Linked DNA regions of Sus scrofa. The protein of the gene in region 6 binds, or shares a complex with, the protein of the main gene of each other region. Links are inferred from orthologs where the notes say so. Each region holds a gene or a part of one and is shown on either strand. Other genes may lie near its edges.

What was found.
Region 1: PRPF6 (region 6) and LSM5 share a complex: the UniProt entries of both Homo sapiens proteins name them as parts of the U4/U6-U5 tri-snRNP complex. The link is inferred for Sus scrofa from reciprocal best matches to the Homo sapiens genes PRPF6 and LSM5.
Region 2: PRPF6 (region 6) and LSM4 share a complex: the UniProt entries of both Homo sapiens proteins name them as parts of the U4/U6-U5 tri-snRNP complex. The link is inferred for Sus scrofa from reciprocal best matches to the Homo sapiens genes PRPF6 and LSM4.
Region 3: PRPF6 (region 6) and TXNL4A share a complex: the UniProt entries of both Homo sapiens proteins name them as parts of the U4/U6-U5 tri-snRNP complex. The link is inferred for Sus scrofa from reciprocal best matches to the Homo sapiens genes PRPF6 and TXNL4A.
Region 4: PRPF6 (region 6) and LSM7 share a complex: the UniProt entries of both Homo sapiens proteins name them as parts of the U4/U6-U5 tri-snRNP complex. The link is inferred for Sus scrofa from reciprocal best matches to the Homo sapiens genes PRPF6 and LSM7.
Region 5: PRPF6 (region 6) and LSM8 share a complex: the UniProt entries of both Homo sapiens proteins name them as parts of the U4/U6-U5 tri-snRNP complex. The link is inferred for Sus scrofa from reciprocal best matches to the Homo sapiens genes PRPF6 and LSM8.

The regions. Positions count from the first base shown.
Region 1 is NC_010460.4:40,750,626-40,755,537, reverse strand, and holds the start of LSM5 (U6 snRNA-associated Sm-like protein LSm5), read right to left. Parts: upstream 3,149-4,912; 5' UTR 3,056-3,148; coding exon 3,010-3,055; intron 2,999-3,009; exon of another isoform or gene 2,122-2,998; intron 2,007-2,121; coding exon 1,911-2,006; intron 1,076-1,910; coding exon 1,048-1,075; intron 345-1,047; coding exon 272-344; intron 1-271. UniProt on the Homo sapiens protein: Plays a role in pre-mRNA splicing as component of the U4/U6-U5 tri-snRNP complex that is involved in spliceosome assembly, and as component of the precatalytic spliceosome (spliceosome B complex).
Region 2 is NC_010444.4:59,497,825-59,502,803, forward strand, and holds the start of LSM4 (U6 snRNA-associated Sm-like protein LSm4), read left to right. Parts: upstream 1-1,735; 5' UTR 1,736-1,851; coding exon 1,852-1,854; intron 1,855-2,103; exon of another isoform or gene 2,104-2,164; intron 2,165-3,826; exon of another isoform or gene 3,827-4,266; intron 4,267-4,979. UniProt on the Homo sapiens protein: Plays a role in pre-mRNA splicing as component of the U4/U6-U5 tri-snRNP complex that is involved in spliceosome assembly, and as component of the precatalytic spliceosome (spliceosome B complex).
Region 3 is NC_010448.4:127,973,917-127,978,120, forward strand, and holds the end of TXNL4A (thioredoxin-like protein 4A), read right to left. Parts: intron 1,649-4,204; coding exon 1,477-1,648; 3' UTR 1,248-1,476; downstream 1-1,247. UniProt on the Homo sapiens protein: Plays a role in pre-mRNA splicing as component of the U5 snRNP and U4/U6-U5 tri-snRNP complexes that are involved in spliceosome assembly, and as component of the precatalytic spliceosome (spliceosome B complex).
Region 4 is NC_010444.4:76,245,265-76,250,510, forward strand, and holds the start of LSM7 (U6 snRNA-associated Sm-like protein LSm7), read left to right. Parts: upstream 1-1,760; coding exon 1,761-1,907; intron 1,908-1,999; coding exon 2,000-2,090; intron 2,091-4,821; coding exon 4,822-4,893; intron 4,894-5,246. Other genes in the region: SPPL2B (signal peptide peptidase-like 2B), read right to left, coding at 1,703-1,762. UniProt on the Homo sapiens protein: Plays a role in pre-mRNA splicing as component of the U4/U6-U5 tri-snRNP complex that is involved in spliceosome assembly, and as component of the precatalytic spliceosome (spliceosome B complex).
Region 5 is NC_010460.4:28,123,204-28,127,942, forward strand, and holds the end of LSM8 (LSM8 homolog, U6 small nuclear RNA associated), read right to left. Parts: intron 3,015-4,739; coding exon 2,887-3,014; intron 1,971-2,886; coding exon 1,880-1,970; 3' UTR 913-1,879; downstream 1-912. UniProt on the Homo sapiens protein: Plays a role in pre-mRNA splicing as component of the U4/U6-U5 tri-snRNP complex that is involved in spliceosome assembly, and as component of the precatalytic spliceosome (spliceosome B complex).
Region 6 is NC_010459.5:62,818,095-62,822,573, reverse strand, and holds part of PRPF6 (pre-mRNA-processing factor 6), read right to left. Parts: intron 3,351-4,479; coding exon 3,232-3,350; intron 647-3,231; coding exon 568-646; intron 1-567. UniProt on the Homo sapiens protein: Involved in pre-mRNA splicing as component of the U4/U6-U5 tri-snRNP complex, one of the building blocks of the spliceosome.

The DNA.
Region 1 (4,912 bases), on a different chromosome or scaffold from region 6:
CCCATTTTCTCCAAGTCACTGCTATTTTACAATGCCACCACCCTCAATACTTAATGTCTCCACAATGACTCTTGGTAAAATAAATGATTAATAATCACAAACTAATCTTAGGCCTAATGTCATCTTTAATGGCTTTAGAGCCCTGACCACCAGCATCCCTTTCCCATTTTAAGTACCACTGGGCCACAAGCATTTAGACAAGTTAGTTCTGTAATCCCTGCCCCATAAAAATGGCTTAACATCTAAATAAAATAGCTTTACTGTATCTTACCATTGTTATATTATTTCCATTTAGCAAAATTTGATCTAACTTAGTAATTCTTCTTCCTTCTGGTGTGATTTCACTAAACAGATTTTTTAAAAAGTCAGGATAAAAATAAAGAAAAAATTAAAACAAAACAAAAAGTCAGGATAAACAGTGATTGTCAAAGCCAACATTTTGATTCCCCCAAAAGGCTAATTATTATATATAAATGAAAACATGAGACAAAAGTTATCCATTGGTTTATTCTTCCCCACAGGGAATAGAGTTGACGGGCTCATCTAAGATCCACATCCACTAGGGCTGATCTTCACTTAAAAAGCTAAAACTTGCCTAGGAGATCAAATATGAAATAAAATGTTTACTATCCTCATTTTTTTTAACCATTCATTTGCTTCTGCTTCCTATCCATTATACCATTCTGTAATCAATTCAATTCTGAAAGCAGATCTACTACTGGTCACAATCTTTATAATTAATATAATTGAGCCATCATTTACATTTTCTATATTCAATTCAAAGTATTAAATACTTTTGATCTGAGCCCTAAGATCCCTCACTGCTTTTAGTGTCTTTTACCTTAAAGCTTTGTTTCCACTAATTTCCTAACAATTAAGGTAATAATCCTACAATCCAATTTTACTAACCTCAGTCATAAAATTTCTATGTTAGTGATTCAAACAGGCAGTGTTTTCTCATACATCATTTTACTGACTCAACAGTGCTACAACTGCCTTAAAGAGAGATTCCCCCTGCCCAATTCTTTAATTTTTAACACTACTCACAATTCAGTGACATCTTCCAGTACCATATCTGAAATTTGGTGTTAAGAAAATATATACCATGTTAAATTTACTCTGGCTTCTGTCTTTGTTCAGTTTTAATTATAACATTGGGAGTTCCCATCATGGCTCAGTGGTTAACAAATCCAACTAGGAACCATGAGGTTGCGGGTTCAATCCCTGGCCTTGCTCAGTGGGTTAAGGATCTGGCGTTGCCATGAGCTGTGGTGTAGGTCGAAGATGTGGCTTGGATACATCATTGCTGTGGCTCTGGCGTAGGCCAGCAGCTTACAGCTCCGATCAGACCCCTAGTCTGAGTACCTCCCTATGCCGAGGGAGCGGCCCTAGAAAAGGCAAAAAGACAAAAAATAAAAATAAAAAAATAACATTTAACATAATGACTCAAATTCAAATTGCTTGCGATTGGTAGGGGTACACACACCCCTTAAAACACTACCACGAATTCCATGAGAATAAATTAATTTTTATTATAATAATCAGTAAGCACTGACTATAGTTCTTACTTTTTTAAAAAAAACTGAAGATGGAGTTCCCGTCGTGGCGCAGTGGTTAACAAATCCGACTAGGAACCATGAGGTCGCGGGTTCCGTCCCTGGCCTTGCTCAGTGGGTTAAGGATCCGGCGTTGCCGTGAGCTGTGGTGTAGGTTTCAGATGCAGCTCGGATCCCGCTTTGCTGTGACTCTGGTGTAGGCCGGTGGCTACAGCTCCGATTCGACCCCTAGCCTGGGAACCTCCATATGCCATGGGAGCAGCCCTAGAAAAGACATAAAAAATAATAACAAAAAAAAATTTTTTTAATTAAAAAACAAAGAAAAACCCATACCCCCACTTTTTAAAAGGATACTGACAAAGTCATCAAATCCGAGAAGCGTGCCAACAATCTCTTTATCACTCTTCATCACAATGTGAATTCTTGATCCTATACACTTGTCTACAAGCTCTATAGATACAGGTTTTTTAAAAGAAAAATAAGTGGGGGGAGGGGTGAAAAAAATTATTTTGCACATTCATTACTTCAAGAAATATGTGAGTACTTACTGGCACTTATTACTTACATATGGTGAAAGATAAACCAAGAAAAGGATTCACTCAAAAACTTCAGGTCTCGGGAGTTCCCGTTGTGGCGCAGCAGAAACGAAGGCCAGCAGCTACAGTTCCAATGGGACCCCTAGCCTGGGAACCTCCATGTGCCTCGGGTGCGGGCCTAAAAAGAAACTTTTTTTTGTTCAATGAAGGAAAAAACTTTCCAATTACCGCCACGTCCACTAACTTAATTACCCTTCAGATACAAAATATTAGAAAAAGACATAACTGTCTTCCCCAGCCCCAAGACGGCTATCCTCTGTTCTCTGAGAGCAGCTTGAATATCTCTTCAGCAGAATTACTGTTACTTGGTATGATGTTTAATTGTCTGGCATCCTGTCTCCTGCGCTGGCATGAATGCTACCTGAAGCTAAGTTACGATGTCTAGTCTACAGATGCGCAAAAACTGTTTGTGGAATAAATGAATGACAATCAGAGCTAATTTCCAGTGTCCCCTTTTAAAGCTCATTGCAGACCCCGCTACCTCTCTCAATAACGGGCCAGACAGACAACAGGGTCTAACCTAGGGATTTTAAATGCCAGGTAGAAGAATGGGACTGCTATCCACTACTGTAAAGGCGAACTCACAACAAAAAAGGCCGACGACGCATTCACTAAGTGTGAACCTTTTCCAGTGACGGTTTGGTGTGAGAACTCAGAAAGTCCTGGCTCAAGAAAACCCTTCCACGCCGAAAAGACGCGGGCGGCCTGAGGCCTCAGAGCCTTAGAGCCCAAAGAGCCGCGGATAAAGAAAACAATTGGTCAGATACATTTCTCTAACACTCAGTCAAGGACTGCGCTGGCCCTCGGCCCGCAACCCTTCAGCTCCCCTCCCCAGCTCCCCACAGGACAACGATTACCTAGAGGTAGCAGCTGCGACGGGTTAGTCGTAGCGTTAGCCGCCATGGCTACGCCGGAAGTGGCCAGCCTCTACCGACGTTGGGAAGGCGAGTTTGAAAGAGCGCGCTTCCGCTTTTTTCCCCTAGCCCGGCCAGGCTCGACCAATCTGAGGCCGAGCGTGCGATCGGGCCAGTCCTACGTGAATCGCTCGGAGTCACTTCTTTCCTCCGCAACGAGATCCGGGGGAATACATCAGTGCGTTGAACATTCTGCGGCCTCAGCAGATACTTTGCCCTCCAAGTTTCCAAGACAAATTAAAGATATCTTGCCTTATAAATAAAATATTCCTCAACCTGGAAGACTGCAAAATAGAAACGTTTGAGTCGTTTGATTTTCCCTGGGTTATATTTCATTTCAACCAAGGATCTTCTGAAGACCAACATAAATATTTTTTCCGCCACTGATTTTATTGTGTTGCAATTTTTGTTAAAAAACAAAAGCAAAAACTTTTTTTTTTTACAGGAATCTACCGCTTTTTTTTTTTTTTTTTTTTTTTTTTTTCTTTTTAAGGCCACAGAGCAGATACATGGAAGTTCCCAAGCTAGGAGTCAAATCGAGCTGCAGCTGCCGGCCTAGCCACAGCCACAGCAATGTGGGTTTGAGCCGCAGCTCGCAGCAACAAGGGGATCCTTAATCCACTGAACGACCCCAGGAATCCAACACACGCTCAGGTATACTAGTTGGATTCTTAATCCTCTAAGCCACAAAGGAGAACTCCCTACCTTTTTTTTTTTTTTTTTTTTCTTTTCTTTTCTTTTCTAGGGCTGCACCTGCAGCATATGGAGGTTCCCAGGCTAGGGGTCTAATCGGAGCTGTTGCTGTCAGACTACGCCAGAACCACAGCAACTGCCAGATCCAAGCCACGTTTGCGACCTACACCACAACTCAGGCACAACGCCGGATCCTTAACCTACTGAGCGAGGCCAGGGATCGAACAGGCAACCTCATGGTTCCTAGTCGGATTCCTTAACCACTGAGCCACCACAGGAACTCCCCTACCTTCTTTTAAAGGTTCAGTGTAGGAGTTTCCATTGTGGCTCAGTGGTAAGGAACCCAACCAGTACCTGGGGACAGGGGATTGGATCCCTGGCCCCACACAATGGGCTAAGGATCCGGGGTTGTCATGAACTGCAATTGTAGGTCTCAGACGTGGCTGGGATCTGCTTTGCTGTGGCCTAGGCCAGAAGCTACAGCTACGATTTGATCCCCTAGCCTGGGAACCTCCATAGACTGCAGAGTGCGGCCCTAAAAAGACCAAAGGAAAAAAAGTTTGCAAACCCATAGCTAGCTTTAAAGAAATACTTTTCTGGGGGTTCCCCTCGTGGCTCAAAGGTAAGGAACTGGATTAGTATCCTTGAGGACAAGGGTTCAATCCCTGGCCTTGATAAGTGGATTAAGGACCTGGCCTTGCTCTGAGCGCTGGTGTGGGTCGCACAGGTGGCTCTGATACAGTGCGGCTGTGGCTGTAGGTAGGCCACAGCTACAGCTCCAATTCAACCCCTAGCCTGGGAACTTCTATATGCGTGGGTTCGGCCCTTAAAAAAAAAAAAAGAAAAAAGAAAGAACTTTTCTGTGATAGGAGGGATTTAAAATATGTTTTATTTTCTACTACTTTTTAAAATGCATTGCTCTTAATCTTGTATTTAGGTGTCTTTCAGACTTTTTGTATTCACTTTCTTCCACAAACACATTGAGAGACAACCACCAGATGTCACTCTATGTCAATGATATCACTGGAAGAACTTTTTACACTTCTATTTTGAAAAGAGAAAGCAAACAAATTCTCTGCCTTAGTCTATTTTATGTTTGTAACAGAGGAACTTAAAGCTAAAGACTCTAAGCAGGAGAAACCAGGAAAAACAT
Region 2 (4,979 bases), on a different chromosome or scaffold from region 6:
CTAGCCTGGGAACCTCCATATGCCGCGGGAGCAGCTCAAGAAAAGGCAAAAAGACAAAAAATAAAATAAATAAATAAATAAAATAGTTTCATGTTTGATCTTGCTCAACTGCAGGCTAATGTTCCAACAGAACATCGATAACAGAGATCAGTTCTAACCCCCATATCTGTGAATATGGCCTTATTGGAAATAAAGTCTTTGTCGATATAATTAAGGATCTCAAGATGAAATTTAACCTGAGTTTAGGAAGGGCCTAATACGAGAAAGGAATGCCTTCATAAAAAAAGAGGAAGAGGAGTTCCCGTCGTGGCGCAGTGGTTAACGAATCCGACTAGCAACCATGAGGTTGCGGGTTCAGTCCCTGCTCCTGCTCAGTGGGTTGACGATCCGGCGTTGCCGTGAGCTGTGGTGTAGGTTGCAGACGCGGCTCGGATCCCGCGTTGCTGTGGCTCTGGCGTAGGCTGGTGGCTACAGCTCCGATTCAACCCCTAGCCTGGGAAACTCCATATGCCGCGGGAGCGGCCCAAGAAATAGCAAAAAGACAAAAAAAAAAAAAAAAAAAAAAGAGGAAGAGTTGAGACACAGAGACACACAAAGAAAAGCACCATGTGATGACAGAGGAATCTGTGCCAAGAACTACAAGGATTGCTGGCAGAGAAGCATGGGATGAATTGCCCCTCAGATCCTTCAGAAAGAACCAACTCTGCTAAAACTTTGATTTCAGTCTTTCGGATTAAGTTTTACTGTTTAAAACCACCCAGTTTGGAGTTCCTGTTGTTGCTCAGCAGTAAGGAACCGGACTAGGTATCCATGAGGACTCAGGTTCAATCCCTGGCCTCAATCAGTGGGTTAAGGAAGCTGCGGTGTAGGCCACAAATGCTGCTCAGATCCTGCATTGCCATGGCTATGGTGTAGGCAACTGTAGCTCCATCCAATTCGACCCCTAGCTTGGGAACGTTCATATGCCATGGGTGAGGACCTAAAAAGCAAAAAATATTCAAATAAAAATAAAAAAATAAAACCACCCAGTTTGATCATTTGTTATGGCAGCCCAAGGAAACTAATACATTTGTCTATTTTGTTTACAGTCTGCCTCCCCAGTGGGCTCCTAAACCTCAGGAGGGCCAGGAGTTTTGTTTGGTTTATTCTCTTCTGTGTTTCCAGGAGGAGGCCCGTAGTAGATGCTCAATAAATATTTATTGCATGTCCGTGTATCAAGTGCTCAGTACGTGCCGGGCACTCTTCTTTTACAAGGCATAAATCACTTGGCACTCATTGCAACCTTCTAAAGCAGACACTATTATTAAGCCCATTTCAAAGGGAAGCAAACTGAGGTTCACACCGGTACGTCTAGCCTATCAAAAGAAGTGCCCTGGACAACGGTCAACTACAATAAAGAGAATCAGAAGAGTAGGAGCTCGAAGGGACACATGGCAATAACCATAGAGCTGCCATTCCTCCATTTGGAAATTGGAGGCACTACCCCGTTTTGCCCACAGCGTGGAGCCCGGAAAAATCACTGAAGATTGCACCTGCGCAGGCGCCCTTACCCACAAGGCCTCCTGCGCCGGCGCACATTGCTCCGCCCCCTTTTGCAGCACTCATAGCGGCACTTTACGACTCTCTCTCTCATTTCTCCGGTAGGAACGCGGCCCGCCCCGCCCCTCGTGTTTAATAGGCCCCGCCTTACTCCGCGTGGATTGGTTGGCCTTCCCATGAGCCTCGTGCTGACTGGCTCGCGTTGCTGCCACTCCATTTCAGCCTAGTGGCGCGCAGAGCTGCAGCTACCGGCGGGAACGTGAGCGGCGGCGGCGGCGGAAGTAGCCCACGAGCCTAGTCCCCGCCGACACCATGGTGAGGGCGGTGCGACGGGGGAGCCGGCCGCCAAGGGCCCTCGGGGCGGTTGTTGGTTCAGGGGCGTTGTGGAGCCAGCCTGTAATCTGGGCCTTGAGTCCTGCCCCTTCGCCCAAGGTGGGGAGGACAGGCCGGAGAGTGGAAGAGCTTCTCCCAGGACACCAAGCACGTCGGTCTCGGGGGAGCTTGGGATTGGATAGAAATGAAATCACAGTATGGCAGTCTGGCAGCAGTCTTCCCATTTTGCAGATGGGGAAACTGAGGCCAGAGAGGAAGGGGACCTGCTGAAGGGCCCGGTGAATGCAGCAGAGTGAGTTTTCGGACGGGGAAATGGCTCCCAGTGCATCCGACCCGATCTGACCTCCTAGACAGTAAAGCTAGAGCACCAGGCAGTAGGGGGCCGGCCTTCTTTCTCAAATTCAGCCAATCTGGGGAATTTCGGGGGTTGTACTGCCCTTGGAATGCTAGCTGCGCAACCTCTTATGCCTCTCCTTTTCAGACTAAAAAGCAGACCCAAAGCAAGGTTAACTTCTTCCGGGGTCACACAGCATATGGTTCCAGGGGAAGGGGGGGCGTTTTCAGCCATGGATGGGCTAACCGTATCCCAGTTTAGAAAACAAAAAAATCGAGGCCCTGGCAGGAAGTCTCCCCAGGGCCATGCCATCTCACAAGTTGTGGAAATTGGAGATCTAAACCAGCGTGCCTGTGTCCCCAGTGAGTGACAGACAGGGAAATGGAGGCCCACACAGAGGAATTGAGCTGGGAGAGAACCTGGCCCATCAGCCCTCGAGTCCTCTAAGATGGTCGCTGCACATTTTTCGGAGCTGACCATGAGGGTTCAGTAATTCTTCTGGTCATTGTAGGGATGGAGAGAAGGGAGCAGCTTCGTTCTCTCTGTTCGTCTCTCTGGAGGGTAGAGTTGGTCTGTGGAAGAATCCATTTGTTAAGCTCCATGGAGATAGGATCTCTGTTTTATCCTCATATATTGCCAGAGCCTAGAACAGTGTCTGTGCAAAGTCTGTGTTCAGGAGTGGCTAAGGCATTACACACTGCCTGTTCCTTGTGGTCGGGGTGGGGCGGAAGCCAAGCCAAGGTCTGGGTGAGGGAGTGGGTGATCAGCAGCTTCCTGAGTTGGGAACCTCAGGACACCATTAAATCCAGTTGTGGAAGTTTCCATTGTGGCACAGCAGAAACGAATCCGAGTAATAACCATGAGGTTGGGGGTTTGATCCCAGGTCTTGCTTAGTGGATTAAGGATCCAGTGTTGCTGTGAGCTGTGGTGTAAGCTGCACACGTGGATCAGATCCCATGTGGCTGTGGCGCAGGCTGGTGGCTGTACCTCCAATTCGACCCCTAGCCTGGGAACCTCCATATGCCATGGGTGCGGCCCTAAAAAGCAAATAAATAAATGTATTTAGGTGTGGATGGACCTAGACCTGAGGGCCAGACCCCAGATGTTCTGAGAAAGGCTAGAGAAAAGAATTCTCTTCCCTGAAGCTTTTTATGACTCCAAATTCCACACAGCCCTTGCTCCCCCCTGAACTGGGTGATCTGCCCTCTCCTGTATCCCTGGCACCTTCATGCTTTCCCCCACCCCAGCATACCCCTCGCTTTCAAGTTCACCAGGTTCCTCCTCTTCCTTTGGCCTTTGTCTCCAACAGCGTTTGGGAACAAGGAAGTAGATATGACCACTGCTGCGGTTGTTGAAGTCTTGGAGGGCTGTCCCAATGCCACCTTTCCCTACCTGAGCTTCTCCTTTTCCTTGTCTTGTGAGGTGTGGCAAGTATTCCCCACCCCACCCCACCCCTGTCACCACCCCCTGCCTGGAGTGCCTCCCTGGGTGGTATGTGCTATATTTGTCAGCAAATATTTACTGAGTCCCTTGCATGTGCCTGGCCCAGTGTTCAGCACTGGACAAAGTCCACACCCTCTGAATTTTCCAGTCTAGCAAGAGGCTTGGTGTTTCCAGTCTAGCCAGGGAGACGTAATAAATAAACAAGTTAATTAGAGACTGGCTATACCCTATAATAGAAGCAGAGGGTGGCCCAGGTGGAAACCTCATTCCCTTGATGGGGTTATAATGAGGGGCTGGCTGAAGCAGAAGTCACCAGCCTGGGGGAGGGCACCCCAGGTAGAGGGAACCAAGGAACAAAGTTTGACCAATAGCACCAGGCGTGGTGTGAAGAAGTGAGCGGGCCAGTTTGCTAGAGCCGTGTCAGGCCTGGCTCTGTGGCTAGCCAAGGGAGCGGGTGTGCAGGGGAGGGTGTGAGCAGGTGCTGGTTCCATCTGTGTCGCTGCCGTCCTCTGAGGTCACACTGCTGGCAACAGCTGCAAAGGCTGTGGGTCCTCCAGGGGTGTGCTACTCGTAGCTGGGACAGGATGGTAGCCTGAGAGAGACAGCCTGAAGGCAAGGTATGCCATAAAAGGACATCTGTGGGTCTTCTGCTAACAGGCATTAATCTGCTTTCCCCGGCTTTACCCAGACCTTGCTCTGTATCCTTGGGTGTCCCTCCTAGCTGCTGGTACCTCATCTAGAGGGGCCTTGGCTGTGCTACTCCTACTCCCTCCACCTCTCCACACAGTCCATTTTCATTCTCACCTTCCAGGACAGGGGCTGGCCTGGCCCTGTCCCCGTCTCCGGTGATCTGGGAGGAGGACTCAAGTGTGTCATTGCTCTGGTCCTGATTCCCGTTGTGGATACAGCAAACAGGCTTGTCCAGGAAAACCCTGAGCTTCTCTATAATAGAATACCACCTGGCTCTGTGGCTCCCTCATGCATATCTGAGCCTCCTGTTCTTTCTCCACAGCTTGCTGTGCTCAGGCAGCATCAGACAGATGTGTTCCTTTTTCTTTTTTCCTTTTTAGGCCCACACCTGCAGCATATGGAAGTTCCCAGGCTAGGGGTGGAATTGGAGCTGCAGCTGTCGGCCCATACCACAGCCACAGCCACACGGGATTAGAGCTACGTCTGTGACCTATACCATAGCTCACTTCAACGCCGGATCCTTAACCCACTGAGCAGCGCCAGGGATCGAACCCACATCTTCATGGATACTGGTTGGATTTGTTTTCACTGTGCCACAACAGGAACTCCAGACAGATGCATTCCAGAGGAGGGGGCAGGG
Region 3 (4,204 bases), on a different chromosome or scaffold from region 6:
CCCAAGTTGCTGTGGCTCTGGTGTAGGCCAGTGGCTACAGCTCCAATTCGATCCCTGGCCTGGGAACCTCCATATGCCGCGGGAGCAGCCCAAGAAACGGCAAAAAGACAAAAAAAAAAAAAAAAAAAAATCCATCTAAAATACACTCCTGGAGTTCCCTGGTGGTGCAGCAGGTTGGGAATCCAGCATTTGTCACTGTTGTGAGTTGCAGGTCACTGTTGTGGCACAGGTTCAATCCCTGGCCCCAGGAACTTCTGCATGCCCCCAAAACACACTCCTTTGTGTGTGTGCAAGTACATGTGTACACTTGCACGTGCATGTGTCTTTTTTCGTATTTGTTGACTTCACTGTTTGGTTAGTACTCCTCACCATTCAATAGGGTGTTAATCTGACAAGGCTGTTTCCACACCATGCAGGCCCACCAGGTCGTTGTTTCCACTGACCTTTGGGCAGTGTGTGTCAGACAGCAGACATGGGCATCTCCTTCCCATGGGAGGAAATGGGGCTCTGGGGCCACTGGCCTGAGGTCCTGGGTAAGCACAGAGCCTGGCTATGAGACCCGGCAGGGCTTCCAAATGTGCCTCCACCAGGCCCCTGTGCAGCTTCCACATTCTACAACTCTTTTCATTTCAGTCGTGGGCACCAAGATGTACGTGCCCGGGAAGATCCTAACCAACAACAACACACTGCTAGAGTAAGAGATTCAGAGGAGAGACTTGGGATGGATACAGAAATTGCTTAGGTACATGTACTGAAGAGTCAGAGAAACAGTGTATTTAAGTACATTCGACATAATCTTAGGCAGAATAAGAAACAACTCTTACTCTTTACATTTAAAAGGTTCCAAAAATCATTATTTTATCACCATTTTTATCACCATAAAAACAAGATAATTTTTTCCTTAAGTGTGTACTTTTCTGCCTCTCCCTGTTCCTATGTCCTAACCCTGGGGCCTCAGGATGTCCGTCTTTGCAGATGTGATTAGCTGAGATGACGCTATGTTGGGGTGGGGTGGCCCTCAGTGGTGGGGACATCTGGACACACACACGCATGGGGAGAATAGCATGTGACGATGAAGGCTGGGATTACAGCAGCCCTAGAAAACACAGCCAGATTCTCACTGACAAGTGTGCAAACACAGTGGCCCCACAGGACTCATGCCTGAACCTCCCTCCAAAGGTCAAGTTAATCCCTGATTACCAAAATCACTAACCTAAACATCAAGTTTTCTCAGAAATAAACAATTGTGACTGTTCCTGTCGCCAGGTATTGTATTTATTTAGCTATTTACAGATATTTGCTGATACAAAAATACAATGATCAAGTAGACTGAAAGTAAAGGCAATGCCACCCTCACTGTAAAACCCTCCAGCTCCTTGAGCCACACATACTTCCTCAGATGCTCTCAAGAGTTTAGACTGTGTCCATGTGGGACTGACTCCATGGCACCTGTGTGCACCAGGACCGGCTAGGAGCTCAGTATCTGTACTTTGTGGAGTAGTCCTTCGGGGATACAACCAGACCGCGGCCTTTCCGGGCCCCACGGTACACAGTCTCAATTATGTCGATCATCTCCTGCTTGTCCTCCATGGCCCAGTTGATCTTGTTGTTGTTGCCAGTACCCAGGTCAATCATGATATGCTTGTTCCTGCAAGAGGGAAAGGGGGACAATGCTCATAAAGAACCTTCTGGAAAAGAATCCATGAAAAACACGCCTTACCTTTCCTACTTAAAACCAGTTAACACAACCCAGAGAGTATACCATGATTTAGGAAACTGGAAACAACCGAAACATTATTTGACAAAACACGCAAAGCTCCTTCCACATGTTTCTGTATTTCCTTAGGACAAATAAGCTACAGGGTAACTGAAGGTCAAAGGACACAGTTTTAGCCACTTGGGAAGCCAAACTGTTTTCCAGAGGGTTGTACTAATTTATCTGAAAAAAAGCCATGTATGAGTTCATCATGGCATTCTTGTGAGCACCTAGTATACATGTTATTAAAGCCCCACTAAGGGAGCTCCTGATAGTCCAGTGGTTAAGGACTGATCGTCGTCACTGCTGTGACTTGGGTTCAATCTCTGGCTTAGAACTGCTGTGTGCCTCAGGAATGGCCAGAATTTTTTTTTTTTTTTATTTTAAAAAAAGTCCTACTGATTGCGAAATGAATATATTTTGCATTTCCATGATTCTTCACAAACTTACGTTCCAGGAAGCTATTTTTACTAGCTGCACTCGGGGCATGTTAAAATTCTCAGGCCAGGGATCAAACCCATGCCAACAGATTCTTAACCTGCTGTGCCACCAGGGAACCCTTAAGGGGCTATTTATTTATTTATTTAGTCTTTTAGGGCCACACCAGCGGCATACGAAGGTTCCCAGGCTGGGGGTCGAATTGGAGCTGTAGCCGCTGTCCTATGCCAGAGCCACAGCAACTCAGGATCTGAGCCACGTCTGCAACCTACATTACAGCACACAGCAATGCCAGATCCTTAACTCACTGAGCAAAGCCAGGGATCAAACCCGAGTCCTCATGGATGCTAGTCAGGTTCGTTAATCACTGAGCCACGACGGGAGCTCCAAAAGGCTGCTTTTTAAAATGAATTTATATGGCCCTTTAAAAAATAAAGATATTAACCCTTGTTGTAATAGCTGCACAAATTCTTTTTTTGTTTAAACTTTTTTTGTTTTTCAGGGCCACACCTGGGACACATGAAATTCCCAAGCTAGGGGTTGAATTGGAGCTGCAGCTGCCAGCCTACACTACAGCCACAGAATATTGAGATCTGAGCCATATCTTTGACTTGTACCACAGCTCACGGCAACCCTGGATCCTTAACCCACTGAGCAAGGCCAGGGATGGCACCCGAATCCTCATGGACACTAGTCAGGTTCTTTAATGATGAGCTGCAAAGGGAACTCCAGGCTGCACTAATTCTTAATAATTTAACTTCTGTTTCTGCAAGGTTGTAAGTCTGGCTCCCAGCTGTTGTTCCATGTATATGTGCTCTGTCCTAATTGCAGTTTGGCCTCCTTTCAGCCAGAGTGAGCTTCCAAAAGTAAATGTGATGTTACTTTCCTGATGCAAACATTCCCTTCCAGGCAATATTCCAACTCCTCACACTGGTCCATGAATCCAGGCATCTGGACCCTGCCCCGCTCTCCCTCCCCACCCACCTGCCCCTCCCCACCCTCACCTGTCAGTCCTCCCACCTCCTTGCAGGTTTCCGAATTGTGGTAGCTGTTCTGCCTTTGTGCCCCTGCTAGATGCATGGGGCTCGACCAAAATCATCCAGCAGGCTTTAAGCACTTCCCACTACTCAAAGTATTTGTACCTCTGTGAATACCTGCTGCGACATTGTGATTTATAGGAAAAACATGTATTTAGTCACTGAGATGACTATATTTCTCATATGTATTTGGTTTTCATCCATAATTCCTGGCTCACAGTTGCCAAAACTCTTGGAACTTCCATGAATAAGAGTCATGGGATATTCAGTCTCCAGTCTTCAGTTCCTGAAAACACTTCAGGGCCATAAAGGTGAAATGGGTGCCTTGGTGTCACAGGTGGGCTTATGTTCACGAAGGTGACTTCTTAATCCCACCAGCAGGACTCCTGAGACTTGCCCAACATGCTAGAGTGGAACTGGGTTCTCTTCCATCTCCCTGTTTCCCAGTGCTAATTTACTCAGCTCTGCCAGCAGATGAAGTTCTGTGACAGCAGGAACCCTGTCTCATCTGACAAAGTCCCAGAACTAGACATGAAACCTAGTGTTACTCTATATATATTTAGGGAATAAATTAAAGTACTACTACTAGTTGTCTTAGAAGTCTGGGTTGCAGAAACAGTAGAAGATTTTGTCTCATTTTCTGAGTGCAGTATCAATCCTAAAATAGCAAAATACACAGTCTGGCACAGCACCACCTGACTCCTTTCTGCAACCCCCTTTCCCATCAGAACTTGTCCTGGCCACATGCAGTGAGAAGCAGGATCTAAGGCGGCACCCATATTCCCACCTGGAGGACTTTTGGAGAACTTTGAGAAGCATAACAGAAAAGGCCTGGATTGCCTTAAATAGCCTGTTAGTAGAAATATGGACTTGCAAGGAGTTAGGGACATGTTCCAGGGAGTGGAGGAAAGGGATCTTTGCTACACAGTGGCAGAATGTCTGTGACACTTGTAAGCGATGCATGTGGATAAGA
Region 4 (5,246 bases), on a different chromosome or scaffold from region 6:
GCCACTCCCCTGACGTTCCCTCCCTGGCCTCCCTGCCAGTGCACCTGAGCCTCCACTGGGATGACACCATTCTCAGGTGGAACCACTGTACTGAAAATACACCAGTTAGAGCGGAGCCACAGCTTCCCCAAATAAAGCTCTCACGCTTCTGCCTGGCCCTGCTCACATCACCTGCAACACCCTCCATCTGCTCTCCTGACCTAGCAAACTCCTACTCGTCCTTCAGAACACCCTGCAGGCACCGCTGCTCCTGAAAAGCATTCCCAGGCCAATTGCATCCCTCATTCTGTGGTGTTTCCATGACCCTCCCCCTGCTTCTAGCTTTGCACTCCTTTGGAATACCCAGACAGCTCAAGGTCCCTGCCTCGAGTTGCTGAGACAGCTGAGGAAAATGAGTGAACAGGGCTCAGGGAAGTACAGGGGGCTGGCAAAGCAGCTAGGGGGGCGTCCCAGAGAGCCTGAGAGGGAGGGGCAATGAAGCTGAGGCTAAGTGTATGACCAGGCAATTCATACACAACCCTACATACAGAACCCTCCCTGGGCCTGGTTCTTCATGGCGCTCAAGAGGAAGACCAGCTCTCCACTGACAGGAGGCTGCTTGCTCACAGCCCTAAACCCACTCCCTACCATTCTGTGACCCTGGGCGAAAGAGAGAAGTGCAGGGAGCCTTCAATACACTAGAGCTGGAAAGGGGAAGCTTCCTGACAGCCAGATCACAGGGGCTTCACGAATGCACCAGGAAGCTGCCAGAAGGCTCTCCTCTGGGCACAAGACATGACACACTTTGAGAAAGATCGCTCCTGCAGTGTTGAGAATGAACCGGGGGTGCAGAGAACAAAAGTGGCCACAGAGGAAAGCCATCTGCCTGGAGCAGAGGTGGAGGGGCTGGAGCAGGCTAATGACCCAGTTTTGGGAGCTGTTGGGGGCCACCACTGCCTAAGCTGTGGAACCTGAGAGAGGGGGAGGATTTGGTAATAAAAGATGCACTTATGACAATGTATATCAGCCACCTCGTGGTAGTTCCCCCCACTAGCACCTGGAGACCCTTAACGTTAAATGACAGAGAAGTAGCATGCTGCGCGTTCATGATCCCATATATCATCTCGCTGACTCTATACTGTACACTTATCTTCCTTTTGCAGACAAGGAACTGATACTCAAAGCGGGGAACTCCCTTGCCAAGGTCATGCGAGCAAAAGATGCGGCGGCGATTCGACCCCACTTCGGGGCTGGGCTCCCGGCTGCGTCCCAACACCGCCAGACCCTGGGTGCCGCGCTGGACAGTTTACCACAACCACGGTCGAGGCAGATAGCGTCGCACTCAAGGAGAAACTGAGGCTCGGAGAGGGGTAGCTCCCAGACCAAAGTCACGAAGCTAGAGGGGCGTCTCTGGCGGCGGTTGGAGACCCCGGGGTGGACAAGCGGGGCTCGGGGCAGGAGAGGGGGAACCCCCCCTTAAGACTCCGGCGGGGCCTGGTGACGCTGCGGCTGGGAAGGGCTTCCAGGCAGGGAAGGCAGACGCGCCGGGGACAGTCCGGCAAGGTCACTGCCGGCCCCGAGCCCGCGGGCCGACCGCGTAGGGGGCACGGACACCCTAGGTTGACCCCCAGGCCAGGCCGAGCGGACCCCTATGCGGGGTCGGGGGGCCAAGGAGTAATGGCACCGCGGATGGCGAGGCCGCCAGGGTCGGCGCCGCCCTCACCTGGGCTGCGAGGAGAACGAAGGCCGCCGCGAGCCGAGCCAGCGATGCCACCGCCGCCATGTCGCCCGGTCCCCGCCGCAGGCGTCGGCAGATGTTTCCCAGCAACGCCTTGGCGCCCCGCGCTGCGCAGGCGCCAGGCGTCCGCCGCGCATGTGCAGGGGGCAGAGGCCAAAGGGCGCGGCGCGGCGGCGGCGGCAAGATGGCGGTGAGCGTGCGGCGCGGCTGGCTTGGCTGGAGGGGCTGGCGGGGCAGAATCTGGCCGCGCTTCCCCCCTCACGCAATGTGCTTTCCTCGCAGGACAAAGAGAAGAAAAAGAAGGAAAGCATCTTGGACCTGTCCAAGTACATCGACAAGACTATTCGGGTGAAGTTCCAGGGAGGCCGCGAAGGTGAGGCCCCGCCCCCTGCCTCCCCCCCCCACTCTCCCCCTCTTAAGGTCCACACGGGGTAACGGGCAGCGGTACTGATGACGAATACCTGGGCGGCGCTTTAATCGTTTAGTTCGGAGAACTCGTGCCGGCTTGCAAAAGGCGCCGGGAGGTAGGAACGATTACGGCCCTGTTGCAGGTGGGGAAACTGAGGCACGGGAAAAGGCCCCAAACTAACCCAAAACCCAGTGGCTGGGATTCACTGCTCTGCCTGCTGTGGTTCTTTCTCACCCAGGTGGCTGCCCCAGCTCCTCACCGTGCTCCTGCACCAGGGTTTCTCAGGCTCGGCACTGCTGACATTGGGGCAGCAGTGTTCTCTGTGGAGGTTTGTCCTGGGCGTTGTAGAGTGTGAAACAGCATCTCTGATTCCCACCCACTTGATGCCAGGAGCCCCCCATTCGTGACGACCACAGACCTCCCAGACATGGCCCACTGTCCCTTGGGGGACAGAACTGACCCGGTTGAGAACCATGGCCCTATGGTCAATTTTTATGAAGCCACCAGAGGGATCTGTTATAAAGAAATCCCATCTCCTTGTTCACGGTTGTTCCAGGGTAAAGGAGGAACCTTTTGCTCCAGAGTAATGCTGGGAGTTCTCAACCGCCACAGGGCTGTAAAGATACTTGTTTTCTCTGTCTTGAGCACCTTTACCAGGTTAACTGGCTACCAAGTTAACTTGGTCATTTCCCCACTGGCAGCTCAATACCATTGCTCTGGGAAGCTTTCCCTGACTCCCCAGCCCAGGTCAGGCCTCTTTGTTATGAGCTTCTACTAGTACCTGTCACACAGTTTGCAGCTTTCTGCTGTTATTGTGAGGCTTTAACTCTGCGTCTCCTACTGGAATCTGGTAAGGAGACTGCAGGGTCATGCGGGCAGTGCCGTCCATGGCAGAGCCCTCTTGTCCACTCAGCTGCTGTGGAACTTTGGGCAAGGCACTATCTTTTCTGAGCCTCAGTCTCTTCCTTTGTCAGAGGCTATTATTGACTCCGCCCACCTCAGCAGTGGGGATTAAAGAGTTCAAGGCAGGTAAAGTGTTAACAGGGTTCCCGATGGAGGTTCCCAGGCTAGGTGTCTAATCGGAGCTGTAGCCGCCGCTTATGCCAGAACCACAGCAACTCGGGATCCGAGCCGTGTCTGCGACCTACACCACAGCTCACGGCAACACCAGATCCTTAACCCACTGAGCAAGGCCAGGGATCAAACCTGCAACCTCATGGTTCCTAGTCAGATTTGCTAACCACTCAGCCACGATAGGAAGTCCCTGACAGATAATTCAAGGTCAACATTTCACTTATTCAGCTTCCTCTGATCTTCAGTTTCTTAAACAGTGCTCCAGATCCCTCCTTCCCTGAGCTGTGGACAGTTGAGTAGCATCAGAATGGCTAAAAGCACAGTCAGTGCCTGCCAGTCGAGGTACCTGGCACAGTGAGGATTTGAACATGCTAGTACCATCCTAGCTCTGAAACATAGGAGATAGGTCTCGTCTCGGGGTGCTTATGTTTGCAACGCTGCGGAGCAAACGGCCACCAGTTAGCTGCTTAAACAACACACGTTTTTATCTCAACAGTGTGCGTGGTTTCTATACTCTGGGTGCCTCAGGTCGCTGACAAGGTGGCCATAAAAGAGTGTCTCTGGGAGCTTGTCATCTGAGACCCAGTTCCTCCTGCCTGCCCACTGGTTGTTGGACTCAGGTCCCCGTATTCTGGCTAAAGTGGGCCAGAGACCCTTTTGGCTCTTGGAGGCTGCCTGCTGCCCTTGCCATGGGCTCTGTCCATCGCCTAGCAGTTTGCTTCTTCAAAGCCAGCAGGAAAATCTCTTTTGTCCAGAAAGTGCCCATTCCTTTAGTAGCTCACCTTTCAGGTTGGGCCTACCCAGCATAGCCTCCCTTTAGGTTCACTGAAAGTCAGCCGACTCTTGAACCTTAATTACAGCTGCGAAGCCTTCTGTCTCTGTCACATGACCACAGAGTGATGTCCCATCGTTGCTCCTGTTCCACACTGAGGGGAGGGGGTTCCCAGGCGTGTTCTCGGGGTGAGGGAATGCCGGTTCTGTCTCAGAATCCTGCCCGCCTGCCACAGTGCACCCGTCCCCTTGAGGGGGGCAGACCCACAGGTGTGGGCTCCCGGCCCCCAGGCCAAGTGCCCGAATGCATTGTCCACTCTCCATAACCCCATGAAGTAGGTTCTATCACAGTCTTTGTTCCGTAGGGGAGGGTCAAGCAGGAAAAGGACGCAATGACAGGGCTTCAAACTCAGGTGGGGCCGACAGACATTTTCTATAGAAGACCGGACATGGAATATTTTCAGCTCTGCAGGCCAGACTGTCTCTTTTGAAACCACTCAACTGCCATTGCAGCAGGAAAGCAGCCACAGGCGACATTTAGCAAATGAACATGGCTGTGAGCCAGTTAAACTGTTTACAAAACAGGCACAAGGTTTCGCTGACTGTTCTGGTGGGGGTGGTTTGGGGTCAGCTGACACTGCTCCCCTTCTGGGAGCCCTTCCCTCGCTTTCTCCTTGGTCCCCTGTCTCCAGAGCAGCTGCTCCCACATCTGCATCTGGTTGCAGGGTGACCCCTTGCCGGTGGGGCACCCCCATCCTGCCGACACCTGGATGCAGTTCAAACCTGCCCCAGGATGACCACTGATCTTCCATCTCTCTGTCTCTCTTCTTTTCTCGGTGATTCTGACAAGCCAGTGGAATCCTGAAAGGGTTTGACCCACTCCTCAACCTCGTGCTGGATGGCACCATCGAATACATGAGAGGTGAGTGCAGCTGGCGGGGCTCCAAGCGTCCTTGCCAGGCTTTCCTTACTGTTCCAAAGTCACTCAGCTGCCACCCAAGTGCTAACCATGAATGTTGTGCCTTGTGGATCAGACGGCTGACAGATGTGTTTGATCTCTCACGGTCCTGGCGAGGCCCAGTAGCCCATCATCTTGAGCCTTCAGAGGTGCGGAGTATTTGCTGATCCGCTCATCACTGACCCTGAGCACCAGTGGGTTTGGAGTGTGCCTGGTCTGGCCAGAAAGATGCCACGGCCCCATGAGAGACCCAGCTGCCCTGGGGTTCCTTCAGACCCATTACCTCCTGCTGTCCCTGTGCAGTAACTCCCTGCTGC
Region 5 (4,739 bases), on a different chromosome or scaffold from region 6:
TTTGTTTTACCCACTTTGCATTATTTTCATTTTATTACTAACTTGATTATAAAACATTATATTACAAAAACCAAATATTTATGAATAGCCAGTACTAGCTAAACTTCCTCTAATCCTCCCAGACACAGCCTTAAACACAGGAACATCAACCCACCTATTCTGGGTGATTTTGCTTGATGACCAAAGAGAACTATCTCAACAGTTCTCACAAGTCGTTTCTGTGAAAATATTTTTCTCTAGAAAATGTTTTATTTGTGAACAAAAAATTAACATGTCTAATAAGTAGTTTTCAGTGTTAAAAAACATGAAATCCACCTTTAAACTCAGAAAGGATCCATTCCAGAAGCCCTTTTCAGAATTTATACATTTTGCCATTATCTCTTCCTATTCCGTCTGCATTTTTATTTTGAGGCAGGGGTCAGCAAAGGATGGCCTGTAGGCCAAATAGAGCCTGCTACCTCTTATTGTAAATAAAGTTTTATTGGAACACATTCATGATTATTAATTTATATATTATCTATGGCTGTTTTCTTGCAATAACAAAAGTTGAGGTATGAAGGAGACCATAGGACCCTTAAAGCTTAAAATAATTAGTATCTACATATTTACAAAAAGAGCTTGCCAACTATTTTTAAACAGTCATTAAAAAAAAACTTGAAATTTTGTTTCAATTACAAGGATATAAGCATTTTTCCATTCTTATCACAAAGTTACACACTTTGGCCTACAGATGACTCTCGCTGAGAAATCCGGTGGACTAGCCTGGATATCTAAATACTACTTGTAACAATGTTTCTATGGACTCTTAAAAGTATAAACAACCAAGTGTGAAAACAGCCCATGGGTGGATGAGGGGCATTTATCTACTTAATTGATTTCACACAAATAATAGACCAAAGAACAGGACTGACATGCTTGAAGAAAACATGTTTACTTCTTTTGAAATTGGGTTCATGGAACTAGGGAGTCATGGAAAGCTGTTGACAATAATAGCAAGCACTGCCTCAATATAAACTTAAGGTTTATTTACTCACATTTAAAAACAATAGAACACTCCTTTACTACTAGAAATTCCCCAATTCTTAAAATTAAAAGCTAAGATGACTTTTAAGATTGTGTGCAATCAATAGTTTTTTTCAGATAATAGACAACTTTGTTAGCATTTTTCCTTTTCTCAACCAAACACACTTTTTAGTAAACCACACTTACAAAGTGCTAGGGAGCAACTGCCAGGGCAATATGATAAACAGGAATGGTTTAGATAACTACAGGAGACAAGACTTACCATCTTATAACTTTCTTAAAAATCAGGGAAAGATGGAGTTCCTATTGTGGCTCAGAGGTTAAGTACCCAACACTGTCTCTGTGAGGATGTGGGTTTTATCCCTGACATCGCTCAGCAGGTTACGGATCCTGCATTGCTGTGGCTGTGGCCTCAGCTGCAGCTCTGATTAGACCCCTAGCCTGGGAACCTCCATATAACAAGTGTGGCTGCCAAAAAGAAAACAAAAAAAGGAAAGAAACATACGTATCCTGCACTATTGGTATTTGTATGTTTAATTTAAATAGTACATGAATTTCTCTTTCCAACTAGTTTTCCACAAGTATTAAAATATATCTTTTCTAAAACTTCTCAAAATAATTAGATTTTTACACTATTCAATCAAAAAATAAAACCAAGCTAGCAAATGTATGATTTAGACCAAAAACAGTTTTTCATGAAAATGTAGAAATATTTTAATTTACATATCATATTACAATGAATCAAAATGGAGTCAAAATCCACAAGGACACATTCATAAAAAATTCTGCACAGTATCCTCAGAATAATCAGTTTCTGTACAAAGATTTACAGATGTCCATCATATGTAGTTTTTTCTCAGTGTGCCACAGAATTCAGAGGTTCTGCTCGAATATTTCCCAAATCAAGTGCCGAATCTGTCTCTTCATCAATCTCTCCAATGACTGCCCTGTAATTATTTAAGGGGAAAAAAATAAATCAGTTTAAACAATCTTATTTCTGACTGAGAGAAGATGGTAAAAAAAAATACTTAAGGTGAAAAACATTTTTATAAGGTAGTGAATTACATATGGCCAATTTCAAGGTACCAACAGACATGATCTACCAGCTTGCAAAACTCCTTGAAATATAAAAATCTGCTTCTATGAGTCAGTACAAGCTGGCTCCAGCATACTGCTAGGTCTACAACAATGTTTCTTTTTTTTTTGGCTTTTTAGGGCCACATCTGTGGCATATGCAGGTTCCCAGGCTAGGGGTCAAATCAGAGCTATAGCTGTCGGCTAATGCACAGCCACAGCAACACTCAATCCAAGCCATGTCTGTGACCTACCCCACAGCTCACGGCAATGCAGGATACTTAATCCACTGAGCGAGGCCAGGGATTGAAGCTGCATCCTTATGGATGCTAGTCAGTCAGATTTGTTTTCTGCTGAGCCACAAAAGGAACTCCTTAATTTTTTTTAAATTGAAGTTTAAAGTAGAAGAAAAAGTCTTAAAATCAAATTTACAAATTAGAAGAAAAAAGTAATGGATAAGTACTTATTTATAAATTCAGCTAGGTTACAAAGCAATAATTATTTAAAACTGTTCACACAAGAGATTTCAAAGACATTTTCAAACGCTAGCCTTGGACCCTAGATATATATTTATGTTCCTTTGAAATTAGGAGTATTTTGGAAGAACACTTTAAGAAGCCTCTCCAATGACGTATTCAAGGCAGGGCCCTTTCTGGACCCCATCCAGGCTACTTAACTATTAGAAATTCAGACAAATCTCGGTAGATAAAAAACCCTTCTCCATATAGCAAGGCAGTATATATCTATAGTATATTTAACTTGCCTTAAAAAAAGACATGTTTTACTTACACATTGTCTCCTCTTACGATGTATAACCCTAGTACCACTTGTTCTACTCCCTGTGAGGAACTGAACACTCGTTCATGGCTTTCATCCAAAATCAAATTAATGGTCTGGTCAAAGCCTTTCAGGGTTCCCTGTAAAAGAACATTCAAGAGAAAAAGACAAATATTCTCATTTACCTGAATGTGTAAATTCAACCACACAACAAATTTAGTTGCCAGGTACTCCAAAAGAAGTACCCATTTTAAGTATATGTAAGTCCACTGGAAGATAGAATGCTTCTTTATGACCAACAGTATTCACATTCTTGGGCATTTACCTCTTGGTTTTTTTTTGTGGGGGGGGAACCCACCACGCTTCTGACTAGTGTGCAGAGTTGTTGAGAACTACAGGGACGCCTATGTACTAGTTTATTTCCAAGGAAAGAGCATAAAAGTCCAGGTAGTCCAGGAGCTAATATTCTAAAGATACAAACTAAAACAAGGGAAACTTAAGGGAAATATTCCTATACATAGCAGCTATAGCAATGTAACAGTATCATTTCATGTTACATACCAGTAAACATGCTGCACACATTATCTAAACAAATCCCTATCCTTTGCCTTAGATGCTATAAATATTCCTACTTCAGAGGAGAAAAATTGAGGCACAAAAAAGTAATCTCTCAAGGTTTCATGGGTAGAAATAGCAGTTAGAATCTGAACCGTGAAAGGCTAGCTTCAGAGCCAAACCCCTGATCTATATTATACCAAGCAAATAGAATTTACCACTTTTCAGAGATTCAAATCAATTCCATAAATATACACAAACTTCAACTGGTAATAACAGCTAAGATTTGAGTACTTAGTATTGCAAAACAGTGTTCTATGGGCTTCATGTGGATTTACTTATTTAATCCTCCAGTAATAGTTGATACAAATGTGACTGTAACAATTAGAACAATCTAGAATTTGCAGTAACTATTCAGAGAAAGTTTTATGGAAGAAGCTTGGTTCTTAATAAAGGAAGACATAAGCCTAGTACAACATAGTAATTCAGATGCTATTGAAGTTTCTAAAGACACATCAACATATTGGTTTTAGTTGGTTAAATCTCTCAAGCTCACCATTAAAGTTGCTGTTTTGAAACTCTATATAAAATCAGAATGAAATAAAGAGAAAATGTTAACTTAGAATTTGGAAGAGAAACAAAATATGGAGTATTTACTAAACTAGCTAGCAAATAGTTCTAATCACACCCATACATAACTTCTTGGCTTCATTTACACATAACTGTTCTATGAAGTGAGCCATGTGTCAAAGAAATACAAACTACTGAACTTTAGTGCTCAAAATGCCTTTTAAAAATGGCTTTCCTTCTTCTATCAAGTTAAAATAATTTTCCAATTTATTAACCCATCTTGTTAACAAAACAAGAGCATTTAAACTTGAGATTTTCATAAAATAAAAAAAAAACCTATTTACAAACATTTGTTAACAATAGGCTTCTCAAAGTTAAGAAGAGATTAAAAGATTTCAAACTGTCCTTACTTGACAAAGTACAATGTGAGCTACCTTAAAAAACAAAAACGTGATTTTCTCTTAAGAAGAAAGCAAGACAACTGGCCTTAGTTTTGGAATTAAATCTAACTGAAATCCCAGTTTGGTTCTGCCACTTATATCCATGTGACTGGGAAAGTGACTCACTTTTTCTGAGCGTGGTTCTTGCCCTAGAATACAGGGTTAACTCTTCACAGAGTTGTACTGAAATTAAGTGATAGAACACATCTGAAAAATGGCAAAGTCTGACACTTGATATTAGTCACTTAAGGACCCACTAAGGAAAATCACAACGATTAAAAAAAAAAGAATCAAAAAGAG
Region 6 (4,479 bases):
ACTGAGTGAAGTAAGTCAGAAAGACAGGAGTTCCCGTCGTGGCGCAGTGGTTAACGAATCTGACTAGGAACCATGAGGTTGTGGGTTCGGTCCCTGCCCTTGCTCAGTGGGTTAACGATTCGGCGTTGCTGTGAGCTGTGGTGTAGGTTGCAGACACAGCTCGGATCCTGCGCTGCTGTGGCCCTGGCGTAGGCCGGCAGGCTACAGCTCCGATTCGACCCCTAGCCTGGGAACCTCCATATGCCGCGAGAGCAGCCCAAGAAATGGCAAAAAAAAAAACCCAAAAAATAAAATAAAAAATAAAGTTACACACACAAAAAAAAACCCCAAAAAACTAAAATAAAATAAAGTTACAAATAAACTCAGCCCTTTGTTCCACCTTTTGTAGTGAGGAGAGCGGAGGCTTGTTACATACACAGACACACACACATTAAACACGCTGGAGCAGGGGCCTTCTTCCACCCACTGAATTAAACAAAGGGCAGAGGCAGCAAAATCTCATCAGCTCCGCCTGAGCCTCGGTTCTCGGGAAGGGCATCAGGAATATCATGCCACCCGTCTGCTCACTTTGAGATCTGAGAACTGCTGCTGGATTTTGGGACGCTCCATACGGTATTTCTCAATTTCTTCTTTCTCCCTTTGCTCCCTAGGAAATAAAACGTGTGTGCACACATTAGAAATACTGCATGTCCGTTCTGAAACAAAGGCCTTTTATTATACTTCTTGATCAAACCACCAAAAAACGGAATAGTTCCACACACTCAGGACCTAAATCAAATCTATTTTAAGGCAACAGCGGACACATTAGCAAATTAACTCAATTCCCTACCAGGTGAAAACATGCAGAAATCACTAAAATAAAAGCAAATTTTGTCTTATTCCAATAAATACTTGCATTTGAATACAAGCATATTTACTGCTTTAAAATTATACAAAATTCCAAAGGCAGGGCCATCCTATGAAGACTCAACTCAGAAGCAAATCTGAAGCACTGTCCTAGTTGCCCATCCAACTCTCTACTCAATTTACCTTGCGCTCTTCAAAGGAGAGCTCCCTTCTAACGAACAAGAAGCCTGGCTGCTCCGACTGCCACAACCGACAGGTCTGTGACTTGGGGCCAGGTCACATGTGGATACAAAGAGCCATGGGAAATGGTGACTAAGTAAACTAGTGTGGATGTCCGCCCCGGAGCCAGGGTTCCAGCACTGAGCTCAGACAGGACTCCGACTGTGTGGCGACAAATGATGCGCCTGGAAAGGACAAACCCCTCCACGGGCTAGAGGTGGCCTGTCATCACGGCTCCTGATGGGGCGAGACACACAGACGCACCTGTCGGGTTTTCTGGCAAAAGACATTCCATCTGATTTTAATCAAGCCTCTGGGAGTTCTCTTGTGGCCCAGTGGGTTAAGGATCCAACAATGACACTACTGTGGCACAGGTTTGATTCCTGGCCTGGGAACATCCATATGCCGAGAACGAGGCCATAAAAAAAAGTTAATTAAATAAATAAATATTTTTTAAAAAATCAAGCCTCAGGATCCAATTTCCATTCCACCAAGCAATGCTAAAAGCATGACAGTACAAAGGCACCCTGAGGAGACAGGCAGCCATTCTGGGGGATGGGGTGCAGTTGGGGGGGGTGGCTAAGAGACATGCCCATGAGGGGTTCTGGTTGTGTCCTGGCTTAGAAAAGAAAGCTCGGAAGTTCCCGTCGTGGCTCAGCGGTAACGAACCCAACTAGTACCCATGAGGACATGGGTTCGATCCCTGTCCTCGCTCAGTGGGTTAAGTATCTGACATTGCTGTGGCTGTGGTGTAGGCCGGCAGCTACAGCTCCGATTCAACCCTTAGCCTGGAAACTTCCATATGCCACGGGTACGGCCCAAAAAAGACAAAAAAGAAAAAAAAAGCTGCTCTATGATGCTGTTGGGATAAGCAGGGAAAAGTGGATGCGGACTGGCTACCAGGTAACAAGACATACTGCTCAGTGCTGGGGCCCCACAAAGACCACGTGCAGGTGCAGATGAGGCAGACGTGCGAACTGTAAACAGTGTAGAGACTACGTGGCAGCAGGGGCATGTGTGCCACACTACTCTTCCTGTGTATCTGTGTTTGCGTTGTGACCAGTTTTCAGAAGCCAACCACTTTCGTTGGGGTTTTTTTGGTTTTGTTTTATTTTTGTTTGTTTTTCCTTAAGTCTTTTGTCTTTCTAGGGCCACACCCATGGCATATGGAGGTTCCCAGGCTAGGGGTCTAATCAGAGCTGTAGCTGCCGGCCTATGCCAGAGCCCGCAGCAACGCCAGATCCTTAACCCACTGAGCGAGGCCAGAGATTGAACCCGCAACCTCATGGTTCCCAGTCGGATTCATTTCCACTGCACCATGATGGGAACTCCATAAGCCAACCACTTTCTTAAAACCAGTTAATACAGCAATTCTCTACAAGTATCCATGTCATTCAGGATTCCGGTTTGTTTTTTGGCCACGGGATGCGCTAGTTCCCAGGCCAGGGATCAAACCTGTGCCACAACAGTTGGCAATGCCAGATCCTTAACCACCAGGCCACCAAGGAACTTCTCACTCAGGTTTTGGGGTTTTTTCCTTTTTTTTTTCAAGTTTTCTAAATGAACGAATTCCAGAAAATTGGAATCAAATCATCTTTAATATGCAAAACCACACTTAACTATCACACACACACACACACACACACACACACACAAGTTCCTACACATCAACTCAATAACATGCTTTTGAAAAACTCCCCCTGGAGTTCCCACCATGGCTCGGCAGAAAATGAATCTGACTGGAATCCACGAGTACTCAGGTTCAATCCCTTGGCCTCACTCAGTGGGTTAAGGATCTGGTGTTGCCGGGAGCTGTGGTGCAGGTCACAGATGCGGCTCGGATGTGATGTTGCTGTGGCTGTGGTGTAGGCCGGCAGCTACAGCTCCAATTAGACCCCTAGCCTGGGAACCTCCATGTGCCGCAGTGCAGCCCTAGAAAAGGCAAAAAGACAAAAAAAAAAGAAATAAACCAAAACAGAACTTTCTTTGTGGGGGGCGGGGGGAGGCTTCGCCAACAGCATGTGAAAGTTCCAAGGCCAGGGATCCAACTGGAGCTGCTGCTGTGACAGTGCTAGATCCTGAGCCAGCTGCCCCGTACGAGAACTCCCAGAACACAATTGTTCTAAGAAGCTGGCTAACAGTACGGAGAGCAATCGCTTGTCTTACCTCCTCTCCTTCCTTCTTTCATCCATCCTCTTGTCCAGGGCTGCGTAGATGGCATCTGCTTCCTCGTCGTCTTTCTCGTAGGGCCCGCTGGAGAAGAGACTCCCAGCGTAGCCATTAAACTGGGGCCAAACAGCATAACTTAGACCATCAGTCTTCCCTCCAACACAACCCCCACCAGCAGAAACAGCACAGCCAGCTGCGAAAAGTCTGCTGAACAGGTTTTGTCAACCAGTTGAACCCTAGCTGGAGGTAACCAAAGAGCTGCTGAGCAGTCTTCAAAAGGGTCAAGGGCATGAAAGAAGAACATCTGCACCAATCAGAGGAGGCGAAGGACACAGCTAAACGCAGTGTGGGCCCTGGCCTGGGTCCTGGGCCAGGAGGAGGACAGAGGCAGAAAACCCGTGGGATTCAAGTAAGAGCTACAGGTTAGTTAAGAGTGCCGAGTCAACATTCACTTCCTGATTTCAGCAACAGCACTAGGGTTGTGAGAAGAGGCTTGTGAAGAGTAGGCAGAAATCCTCCATTTAATTTTTAAAGTTCTCTGCAAGTTTAAAATTATTTCTGAGTTCCTGTCGTGACTACAGTGGAAATGAATCTGACTGGCATCCATGAGGACACAGGTTTGACCTCTGCCCTCGATCAGTGGGTTAAGGATCCAGTGTTGCCATGGGCCATGGTGTAGGTCGCAGACGTGGCTCGGATCTGGCGTTGCTGTGGCTGTGGTGTAGGCCGGCAGCTTCAGCTCTGATTCCACCCTTAGCCTGGGAACCTCCCTATGCCGCAGGTGCGGCCCAAAAGACCAAAAAAAAAATTTTTTTTTTCAGAATTGAACTTCTTTTTTCTTTTTTGGCCACACAACAGCATATGGAGCTTCCAGGCCAGGGATCAGATCCAAGCCACAGCTGGATCCCAGAGCTGTGTCCCAGCTCTCCTAAAATGCCACCTATCCTGTCGCATCACAGCAGGAACTCCCAGAACTGAATTTTAAAAATCTTTCCCTCTAAAGAAAAATGCCATCTGTTACAACACATCTGTAGAAAACTTCCATTGACCAAACATCAATTAACCAAGAGAATGAGCACTAAAGCCAAAGAAAGCAAGGATTACCACCAATTCCACTTAAAATTTTCATCATTAAAGATCAGCCAAGGAGTCCCCACTGTGGCACAGTGAGTTAAGAATCCTCTCACTGCAGCTGCTCGGGTTTTGAACAAGTGCATGTTTGATCCCCTGCCCCACACAGTGAGT